3 linked regions of the Arabidopsis thaliana genome follow. Each later gene encodes a partner of the first gene's protein in a complex. Each region holds a gene or a part of one and is shown on either strand. Other genes may lie near its edges.

Region 1 (3,752 bases):
TAGAACTTCAACCGGCTGCAAGTTTTTATTGGTGGCATGAACTGGTCGAGACTTGCATGCCTCAAAGGATGCTTCAATATCCTTGATTTGTCTCTCTCTAGAGACCAAAGAAAAATAAACCATTAGACCTTTTTTTTTCTCACTTTCCTTAGAAATACACATATTTGAGAAACAACACACCTATTGTTAAGATTGTGCAAGATGTTGATGCCTCCTTTCATCTCTCGCAGTTCCTTTGCTTGCTTCTCCGTTAGCGACTACACAAGGTAAACATAGGAAATTGGAAACTGTCTCTAGAAGCTATACATGGCAAAACAAATTTCCAACAAGCGAGATGGATAGATACCTGTCTTGCCGATTCGTTATTAATAGAAGAAATGTATTGTGTTTTGACGAGCCAAGACATGCCTTTATCAGTAGGTCTTTCTTTCCTCCGGATGCCATCTTTCTTAATAGGTGTAACAGCGTCATCATCACGCAAGAGTTCTTCATCTTCAGGGGCAAGAGGTGCCTTGACTTTGGGAGGGCTGAAAAGAGCTACAACAGTAAGTATCCCCAGTAGATGAGGTCGCTGGCATTAAAGACACTAAGACTTTATTGAGAGCACATACTTGTACACACTTAGGTCAAGCAGATCCAAGGGTATTCCAAGATCAGGCTCGACAAAGATTTTTGGTTTCCATAATTTCTCCAGGGATGTGATGGTATACTTTGTAAATCTAGTGGGATCAAAATAGCTGGCAAGTAAGGACAGTAGAATAACACAGAAATAAAATTTGGCAATAATAGAGAAACATACTGATCTTTATCCCGTTTAATGGTCATAAGCTTAAGCTGTGCACTAGGGTCAGGGAGCTCATTCCGGAACCTTGAAGAAGAAGATGAATATCAGAGTCTAACAATAATATGTAAAAAAGATTTAGGTAGTCGTTTGAAGAATACTGACTTGAGCTTGCAGATGAAGGTGGTTGGTTTCTTTAACCTATTCTCGACCCTGTCGGTGGTGAGTAGGGGCGTCGGCTTCTTCTCCTCGGTGTGTCCCTTGGGCATCTGAGACTTGTGAGAATTTTTCATCTGCTGTCTATGTTTTTCGTCTTGCCTTTGTTTCTCTAACTCCCTCTTCTTCCTAAGCCTCCTCTCTTCTTCGGTCTCGATTTTCTTAGAATGAGGAAGATGAGACCTGTGGTGGTGCTTCGATGGATCCGGTTTAGCACGCTCCCGCCTTCCAACCTGCTTGGAGGCCCCTTTCTCGTGGTCATTGGGACCCTGGTGTCGAGGAGGATCGGGAACGAGCGGAGGAGGAGCTGAGGGAGGTGGCGGAGGAGGAGGAGCTTGGAGCTGGTTGAATTGAGGATAGTGGGGCCCCTGCTGATAGTAAGCATGCGGAGGAGGAGGCGGCGGCGGAGGATATGAGTACGGTTGATGCGACGGTGGTGGGGGAGGAACAGGAGGGGGTAACGACGGCGGGGGAGGCGGAGGGGCCAAAGAATTTTGAGATGGTGGCTGAGGAAGAGGAGGATACGGCGGCCGGTACGACGCCATTCTCGGTGTACTTTGTGATCTGAATCACCTAAACCAACTAAAACGAGTCTTCTTGATATATATTAATTATATAGCTCCGGTCAGACTGATTTTTCCTTTTTACTTTAATTTGGGCCTCACTAGCGGCCCAATAACCGCTACTATCATATGGGTTCTGATAATTACGGCTTCAATACAAACAAAAACAATCTTAAGCTCACCGTTTTATGAATCCCAAATATGAACGAAACATGCTTTGTACCACCAAGCTCATCGACGTGTGACTGTGTGAGGAACACAAAATATTTATTTTCTACATTGATAATTACTCAAACATTATGTACAGTATAGCGAACCGAGGTGTGTGGTTAAACACTCAACACGCTGGACCAACTTATGAAAACCTCTTACCAGGACTTCACAAGCCGAAGATGTTATGGTCGTTGGCACTGAAAATAGCACCGCCAAACTGCCTGGTGTTCAAGTCGCCTCCATCAAGGGCGGTCCCAAAACGGTCAAGCCACTGGGCAGGACTGGGATTCTCTGCCTCTTCCACCCACTCCGACATCATGTCAATGTCCTCCAGGGCAATTGGGTCTGTCTCCAAGGTTATCATCCTCCCTAACTTTAGATTCTGATTCACGTACGCCAACTTGTTCAATATTTCTCTGTCAATCTTGTTTCGCCTTTCCCAGTGCATCTGCTGGAATGTGCTCCATTGGCGTTCCAAGTTGTAACCGCTGCAAACTTGGCTTAGTATTCTGATGGCCACCCGCTGCAAAACAGGTGCTGAGTCACCAAACTGCTCCCACCAGAGACCTGCATTACTAAGCAAACCATTATTAGACATCAACTTCTAGTCTTCTAGTGCTTCGTTACCAATTCTAAAGATCCCAGACCATACCCCTAATAGCCTGGTGAGGGGAAGATATCTACTAGTTTTGCAATTCGGTTTACTACGTGCCAGGCTATATCAACCTGGACTTATTTAGTTGTGTAATAAGACCATAGCTTTAATTGCGGTCATAGATAAGTGGATTATTTTTCTCCCGACTCAGACTACCTATACATCTCTGTTCACTAGTCATGACTTAAAGAAAATATAAATGTATTTATTGTCCATACCTGGTGAAACTGAATCCCTCGCCTCCATGGCCAGGTTACAGCCGAACATTCCCTTTGCCCTAGTGAAAGTGAATATCTGATTTGTAATATCACGCCGTAGATCGCTAGTAGGAAGAAGTTTCTCCAACACTTTGAAAAAATCTTCTTTCAAGGAAGTGAGGAACTTTATCTCTGGGTTATACTGAATACTGGGGTTCAAGAATGCTGCTGCTGCATGAAGAGGTGAATGCAAATGCTCACACCAGTTAGTATCAACTATGTCAGAAAAGACCTTATGCTTATTCTCATCCATGATGTAGTATGTCCGTATTGACTCCTTGGCCTTGGACATTAACTCGTATATAGAACCTACAGCGGGCTTTCCAGTAGAAACTTCCCTCAACACTTTCAGGATAGGCTCGGAAATAGCCACACTTTCTTCCACAGCTCTCCAGAAATCATTATCCTCTAGGATATTCACGCATGAAATGCTCTGTGGTTTGTTAGTATTTGTGGTATACTCTGGGCAATTGAACATGTGTTTTAGCCTTGCCTTTTGTTTCATCATTGACTGTAATGATAGAAAATTGGAGACAGACCTTGTGACACCGCTTCGGATAATATCTTGCCCGCCTGTTAACTTTCTCAATAAATCTAGCACGGGGCTATTGTTGTAGACAAACTTAGATATGACCTGCGCTTGCGATATACATTGATTGACCCAATCAACCTTGGAGAATTCTTCTAAGATGATGTTCAAACACTGAGATGCACAGGGGGAGACGAAAATGGTTGCATAGTTTTGCAAGAGATGGTTTGAGATACCAGTGTAGCAGAAGCTGTTGTCCATAATGATTTGCACAATATGCTCCTGACCAATATCTTGGATGACAGAATCAAAGAGATCAGCAAGGCATTTTGAGTTCTTGAAATATGAGGAGGCGTCGACAGACTTGTGAAAAAAGATTCTGGAAGGTGAAGAGACGGAGAAGTTAATCAGTGCTCGTGATTTGTTGTCGGTCCATGCCTCAGCGATGATAGTACAGCCGGTGGTGACCCACTCCTTTTCAGTGTCTTTCAGTTGTAAGCTAATATCTGACTTAACCCTGTCCAGCCATTCAGTCTTG
Region 2 (3,752 bases), on another chromosome or scaffold:
TACTTATAATACATCATTGCATCAGAAGTACTAGTAATAGGCAAACTACATAGCTTCATTGCAGGTTTGATGGAAAATTTAAAAGCAGAAAAGCTTTGAAGAAGTGTTCACTTACATATGTTTTGCCATCTCGACTCTTAACAAACCTATGGCGAACAATATTATTGTCCAAACGGATACGATTCTTTGCTCCGGGTTCATCTGTCATGAATGTGTCTTCTTCAACGAATGTTTTGGCATCAAAAGGCTTTGGATCAATCCCCATGATATTGGAAACTTTTATCATGTTCATCTGAAAAAGATCAAAGAGAAAACGGTATATGAGGAAGCGCAATTTTGCTACAGAACATCTTCACTACAGATAGACAACTAGAAAATGGGGTTTCAGATATAAAACAGAATAGCACGCTCATGTACACCAAATGGCCCTTCATGCTAAGTAAATGTAGAAGCATGTTTCAGTGCAATGGTTCTCCACATAAAAGACATCAGATACTCACTCTTCGAACCACAATGATATGAGAGATTTTGGTAACTTGGAAATACCAGAAAGGAAACTATTGATTTGAAGCCATGTCAGCGAATAATCTTTTAGCAACATAAAGCAGGTATACCTTAACGGGGTCACCTGGAGGAGGGCGGAAAGGAACCTCCACTTCCAAAGGGGGACCAACTGGCCTCTCCCTGTACCTAGCTTCAACATGTTCAGCTTCTGACTCGTATTGAGGATCTTCTTCAGGGATTATATCATCAAGCACCATATCATCGGGTCTCAGATCCTTCTCAGAGCCCTCTTCATCTTCGATTGGCGATCTCTACAAAATTAGACATCTCATCATACATACATGCAATTTCATATGGTTTCTAAAAGGAAGCAAACACTGGAAAGGAAACAGATATTCTGTAAACTGAAATGTAATATTAGATGCAAGACTCACATGTTCATCCTGCTCAACGTCATTCCGAACATATTCTTCTGCGTCTTCATCATCCGAAGATCCGAAAACATTACGAATATTTACGTCTGACTGTGCAACTTGAACCTCTTCCTTCTCCTCACTAGGTGATCTACCCACCACGCCATATTTCCATGTACAAAAGACAAAGTGATCCATAAGAAATTTGAAAATCCAAGGAACCTCAGAGGACTAGCAAGTATTATTAAATCCAGAGCACAGAAAAGATCAAAAAGAAGCTATGAAACAGCTAGGAAAAAAAAGAATGGAAAAAGGGGTACCTTGGACTCCTAGTCTGATCAACCTCTTCATCTTCAGACTCATAATGCTTTTCACCAGACCTCTCTGATCCGCTCTCAACAACCTCCTGTCTCCTCTTTTTGGCTACTCTACCCCCATGTTCTTCTTCTTTGTTATCACTATCACTATCTCTTGCTTCACTTTCCTCTTGTGGATCAGCCTCCTGTGAACTTTGCTCCCTCTCACCCTCACTTTCTCCAGGATCAAGTTCTACATCTCCCTGTTCCCCGTCAGACTCAGCTTCAGCTTCTCCGTGAACTTCAACCTCAGCTTCACCTTCTCCTTCAGGCTCCACCCCGCCCTCAGCCTCATCCTATCAGTGTTTACATTGGAAATTTCAGCCACAATTTCACTGATATCTTAGTCTAGTTGATATTAAGAAGAACTGAAGCTGAATTAGGCCTAATAAGTTGCATTGGTTCCTGCAATTAACCTAAAACCCTAAATTCAAGCGAGAAGAACTCCAGAAACCATTCGTATTCCAAGGTGTAATTGAAGAACAGTGGCAGTGAAAAATACGAAAACTGAAACAATCAATAGTGACGAAACGAAGGAGATAAAGATGGAGAGAGTTACGGAAGCGTAGTTAGGCTGACGACGATTGCATTCATGTTCGGATTCGATCTCTTCTTCCTCGGAATTATCTCCGAACAGATTAAGCATCATCTCGGATCTCTTTTCTCCTTTAACCATCTTCGCCTCACTTACTCAAAAGTCACTGCCTCTTAGCTGGTGACGGCGGCTCGTGATCTGAGCTCCGACGAAGGGTTCACTGTTATCGGCCTTTGTTGAAGAAGCTATTTTTTTTTCATCTCTACCTCGCGATTTTATGGCATCAGAATTATTATTATTAAAAACAATTGTTACAACTTACAAAGAAAAGGAAATTTTCATCGATATATCTTTTTTAACGCATTACCGGATTATTAAAAATCATTTTTTTTACGTGTAACGACGACTAGAGAGGGAAAAAAGATGGGATTTTATGGGCTTTTTTGAGATTGGAATTCAATATTTTTGGCCCACAAATTTTGGGTTATGGATACCAGTTTCTTTGTGATAGTGAGCTTGTGTTTGCCTTGGCCCCTATGTATATGAATGATACAACATCCTTTTAACTGATTCTTTTGGCCCCTATTTTTTTATATTTAATTTATTTTAAAAACTAATTATTAACTTCTTTGATCAAATAACTTGAGTTGCCAAAATAAATGTTATGTCTTCTTCTAAAACATTGTTGTTGGTTTATAGATTTTATCTGCTTTAGAAATTAACAAGAGACAAAGATTAGGTAAAAGCATAACCGACTTGTGTTCTATGAAAACTTAAGTGACAACTAAACATCATGAATATTCAGGAAATCCTGAAAATTTAAACAGAATTATAGTAATTTCTGAAAAACTCAAGAAATTATGGAATAAAAAGAAAAAAGAAAAAACTATGGACACTTTTAAATTACTCAAACTAGTTTAAGGCTTTTGGAAATTTCACTTTTTGCTTTTTTTTAACTCGAGAAAATTACAATTTTATGTAGACACATTTTGCTCACAAATGTTTATTTATATATTTTCCATAAATTTATTTTTCAGCCTTTTATCTACAAAAATTTATCTTCTAAGAATGTTTTTACCACCAAAAATAATAAATATAAACCACAAAAATAAAATTATATATTTTATATATATATATATATATATATATATATAACAATTTTTATCTATGATATCTGGCAGTCGCAGTTGGCTTAAGCCGCCTGGCCGCCTCTGGAGGGACCAAAATAATTCAAATGGTAATTACGTGCCTTGGCTTCCAACCAACGTTTTTGACTAGGGCTGACTCGGTAGCTTGTTATGTTAGTATAAGAGTTAACTCCATCTGATACTCAGCTGAATAAACTCATACGTACAAAGGAATATTATCTAAAAGACGAGAGTACAAGTGAGAAATGGCGTTAAAGGTGATCAAGATCTCCCGAGTCAGCCCTGCAACCGCCTCCGTCGACCCGCTCATTGTCCCACTCTCGTTCTTTGATTTACAGTGGCTTAAACTCAACCCTACCGAGCAAGTCTTCTTTTACAAACTCACCGAATCATCATCATCTCGCGACGTTTTCTACTCCTCCATCCTCCCCAAGCTCGAGCGATCTCTTTCACTCATCCTCACTCACTTTCGCCTATTCACGGGTCACCTTAAGTGGGATTCACAAGATCCAAAGCCGCATTTAGTTGTTCTCTCAGGAGACACACTCTCTCTCACAGTGGCTGAGACTGATGCGGATTTCTCACGTATCTCTGGCAGAGGGCTTCGTCCAGAGCTAGAGTTACGCCCTCTAATACCCGAGCTACCGATTTATTCTGACTCGGGGGCTGTTGTATCTCTGCAAGTCACTTTGTTCCCGAAACAAGGCTTCTGCATTGGAACCACAGCCCACCATGTCGTCTTGGACGGCAAAACGGCTGAAAAATTTAACAAAGCATGGGCTCACACTTGTAAACA
Region 3 (3,752 bases), on another chromosome or scaffold:
AACACATATAACAAACAGTAAAATCTTTACTTATGTTTCTCGGTTTCATGTTTGAAGATAACAAGGTTTTCTTCAACAAGGAATATACAAATAAGCATACACCCCTATATTTGTTTTACTCATGTATACATTCAATTACACATCGAAATTATCACACAAAGAAAAATTGTTTCGAATTGATTAATCTATCTATCAGTATACTTCATGTCTAGTCTCTATAACCAACAAGAACATGCTATTCTTCAACATTGTCTATATATTATAAGCCCTATATACATTATATAGTCACAGACTCAGAGAGGCTCCACAAACGATTTCCCCAAACATAATCCTATCACAAATTGCGGGGGGCAAGAGCTACTAGAGGCAATGATCATGAGGTTCGTTCATATCTCCATCATGTTGAAGGAGAATTTCGAAAGAAGCTTAGGAATTTGCGACATGATCGGCCCATAAGTCTGCAACGCATAAATGAAACATCACAACACATAATTAAATACAGCTTGATTGACTGACCCTGTTAGTTTTACCAGGAACATCGATTAAAAGTTCACGATGAGTTAAGGGCAATGCAAGTAAGATAGTACATACCTTTTCATTTTCATGGAGTTGACACAATGGAACAGCGAGGAGTTTGAAGTTCTTAGGCACAACAAACTGTTGATGTACCGGTAATCTCACAAGAAAAAGCTTTGTGCATTCCTACACAAAAGATGAGGATAGAGCAGAGCTTTTAGTATAAGCGCAAATCTTCAAAAGTCTCAACTTTTTCTTACAATGAAAGTGAAACTAACTAACCAACCTTTGGGTGTTTAATATTAGGTGGCAAGAAAGGATACATCAATGTCTCAAAGTTGGGTCTCCACCACATCCCAATACATTCTCCTACCTACAACAATGTTGTAATTAGAGAGACCATTCTTAAGCCAGAAACAATCAGATACAAAAGCACTTTAACAAGAAGCCATAGTTCCTACCTCATAACCCGAAACACCCACATTTTCGTTAACCGATAGCTTTGATGCTAGTTTCCGTTTTAGACCTTCAATATCTAGAAGATTAAGGAGAAACATGACTTTAGCGTTTAGAATTGAGACAGCGATATTTATGCATAAAGATGCAAGGAAACAGCATACTAAACCTGATTCTCCAGGTCTCAAACGACCACCAGGAAGCTTGAAAATGGAGTTTCTATATTGAAGAAGCAAAACATGAGGATGCTTGAACAACTCAACCTGATGTGTCCCAACATTAGATTTTAATCAATCCTTTCAAACCAATTTTCCCTGTAAAACTTTTCAAAATCCCTAATTTGGCTACCAACTATAAAATTACCAGAAGAACAGCTTCAACGCAAGTTCTCAATCCATGAGCAGCATAACTTCAAAAGAAACAAAAAAGAAACTTTAGCTATAGATTAAAACAATAAGAAAAAAACCAGATGATCTAAATCACATCAAAACTCGATTTACTTGGATTTCAATCTGATGACTCGATCAGAGATAATCTCGTCCTTGACGCGAAGAGCTTCTTTTGAACCGAAGTAGTAGCTGCTAAGCGGGTATAAATCAACCATCAAGTCATGAACGACATCGTTTCGTCTCGTCGTGTTGTCACTGATCTCCTCCATATCTAACGCTCGAGCTTCTTCACCCATTTTCTGCCCGTAAAATTCAAAGACGAGAGCTAAAAGCGATCTCAATCGATTAAAATTAAATAACAGAGAGACCACGAGAGCAGAGAAGACGCAAGAAGAAGAGTGAAGAAAGGTGTCGTAGTCGGATCACTGAGACGTGGCGGCTCCAGAGAGTACTTCTCCGCAATTAGCTGACGACGGCGGGAGAGTGAGGAAGAAGATATTAATGGGCCTGTTACGATATTAATGGGCCTTTAGTAGTAAACAAGAATACGGAACGATGTTAAACACTCTATTGTTTCCAACTACTAAAAACGACGCGAGTTTCTATTTTATAACTAAAAAACGAGAATCAAAGTCTCTGTTTCAAATTTGGGTCTTTTGCTTCTTCTTGCTCACTTGAGGAAACACAGTAAAAACCTAAAAAGAGAATGAAACTCGCAGGTCTGAAATCGATCGAGAACGCTCACGAAGATTCCGTTTGGGCAGCGACGTGGGTTCCGGCGACGGAAGATCGACCGGCGTTGCTTCTGACTGGATCTCTTGACGAGACGGTGAAGTTATGGCGACCGGACGAGCTGGATCTTGTGCGGACTAATACTGGACACTCTTTGGGAGTAGCAGCTTTGGCTGCGCATCCTTCTGGGATTATTGCAGCATCTTCTTCGATTGATAGCTTTGTCCGTGTGTTTGATGTTGATACTAATGCTACGATTGCTGTTTTGGAAGCTCCTCCTTCTGAGGTTTGGGGAATGCAATTTGAACCTAAGGTAATTGACTCAATGAGATTGCCTCCAATTTTAGGGTTTTGAAGGATTTTGGGTTGTTTTGTGGTGAAAGAATTCGATTGCTTCATTGAATTTCACTTCTTAGTTGCGAGTAATGCTTCTCCTGATCTATATAACAATGCTTGGGTACTATATGGAATTGCTGAGTATCGTTTGAATCTGTAGCTCTGATCAGATAGGGTCATCTACTCTGCTCGGAAAATAGATCTAGATCATCTTCTGATTTTTCATTGAGTCTTATATAGTAGATTAAGAACAATTTATTGGTGCTTTGATGATAAATCTTGATTTGGTATGATAGAATTTTGACCTGGTGACTATCAAGTATCAGTGCAATGATCTCTCTTTTAGTTTGCAGTGGAGTTTTTATTTGCTTCTGAGCTTATAATTTCAACATTACTCTTTAGAATGGTGCTCTGCTAACATAGTATTTTACATGTTCCAAGGGTACGATCCTTGCTGTTGCAGGTGGAAGTAGTGCCTCAGTCAAGCTTTGGGACACTGCAAGCTGGAGATTAATCTCAACTCTATCAATCCCACGCCCAGATGCACCAAAACCTTCCGATAAAACCAGCAGCAAGAAATTCGTTCTCTCGGTGGCTTGGTCTCCTAATGGGAAACGACTTGCTTGTGGTTCAATGGATGGTACGATCTGTGTTTTTGATGTTGACCGCTCAAAGCTACTTCACCAGCTAGAAGGTCACAATATGCCTGTAAGGTCCCTTGTGTTCTCCCCTGTAGACCCGAGAGTCCTCTTCTCTGGATCAGATGATGGGCATGTGAACATGCACGATGCAGAAGGGAAAACGCTGTTGGGGTCCATGTCAGGGCACACGAGTTGGGTGCTGAGCGTTGATGCTAGCCCAGACGGTGGAGCCATAGCAACCGGCTCAAGCGATAGAACTGTGAGGCTATGGGATCTTAAAATGAGAGCTGCGATTCAGACAATGAGCAACCACAATGACCAGGTTTGGTCTGTGGCCTTTAGACCACCAGGTGGAACCGGTGTCCGGGCTGGTCGACTTGCTAGTGTCTCTGATGACAAGAGTGTATCGCTCTATGATTACTCATGAACAATTCGGTTTTTTGACTTTTTTCTTTTATGCATTCTCCAAGACGCATCTAGTTGTAACAATATAATCTGCAACAGGTTGATTTTGACCGGAGTCTTTAGATTTATCGCTTACACAAAAAACAAAGAAGATAAAATGATTCAAACTTTGCGATAGAACTTTATTGGAAAACTGAGAAACAGATAAAGATCACAGAGAGATGAGTTGAAGAGTAACGCAAACAAACGTCTAAAAGTTTTCAAAAAACAAAACAGC

The links.
Region 2: ELF7 (region 1) and VIP4 share a complex: the UniProt entries of both Arabidopsis thaliana proteins name them as parts of the nuclear PAF1 complex.
Region 3: ELF7 (region 1) and VIP3 share a complex: the UniProt entries of both Arabidopsis thaliana proteins name them as parts of the nuclear PAF1 complex.

The regions. Positions count from the first base shown.
Region 1 is NC_003070.9:30,002,428-30,006,179, forward strand, and holds the start of ELF7 (hydroxyproline-rich glycoprotein family protein), read right to left. Parts: upstream 1,657-3,752; 5' UTR 1,543-1,656; coding exon 947-1,542; intron 869-946; coding exon 800-868; intron 720-799; coding exon 612-719; intron 528-611; coding exon 347-527; intron 258-346; coding exon 181-257; intron 98-180; coding exon 1-97. Other genes in the region: AT1G79740 (hAT transposon superfamily), read right to left, coding at 1,940-2,340, 2,647-3,752. UniProt on the Arabidopsis thaliana protein: Component of the PAF1 complex (PAF1C) which is involved in histone modifications such as methylation on histone H3 'Lys-4' (H3K4me3). Involved in regulation of flowering time.
Region 2 is NC_003076.8:24,605,580-24,609,331, forward strand, and holds the start of VIP4 (leo1-like family protein), read right to left. Parts: upstream 2,147-3,752; 5' UTR 1,950-2,146; coding exon 1,833-1,949; intron 1,570-1,832; coding exon 1,238-1,569; intron 1,069-1,237; coding exon 939-1,068; intron 816-938; coding exon 615-815; intron 293-614; coding exon 116-292; intron 1-115. Other genes in the region: AACT1 (anthocyanin 5-aromatic acyltransferase 1), read left to right, coding at 3,202-3,752. UniProt on the Arabidopsis thaliana protein: Component of the PAF1 complex (PAF1C) which is involved in histone modifications such as methylation on histone H3 'Lys-4' (H3K4me3). Involved in regulation of flowering time. Required for the expression of the flowering repressor and MADS box gene FLC.
Region 3 is NC_003075.7:14,595,661-14,599,412, forward strand, and holds VIP3 (Transducin/WD40 repeat-like superfamily protein), read left to right. Parts: upstream 1-1,898; 5' UTR 1,899-2,067; coding exon 2,068-2,406; exon of another isoform or gene 2,407-2,563; intron 2,564-2,870; coding exon 2,871-3,497; 3' UTR 3,498-3,640; downstream 3,641-3,752. Other genes in the region: homolog of CFIM-25, read right to left, coding at 387-458, 592-702, 803-889, 978-1,051, 1,142-1,235, 1,336-1,381, 1,473-1,657. UniProt on the Arabidopsis thaliana protein: Component of the PAF1 complex (PAF1C) which is involved in histone modifications such as methylation on histone H3 'Lys-4' (H3K4me3). Involved in regulation of flowering time. Required for the expression of the flowering repressor and MADS box gene FLC.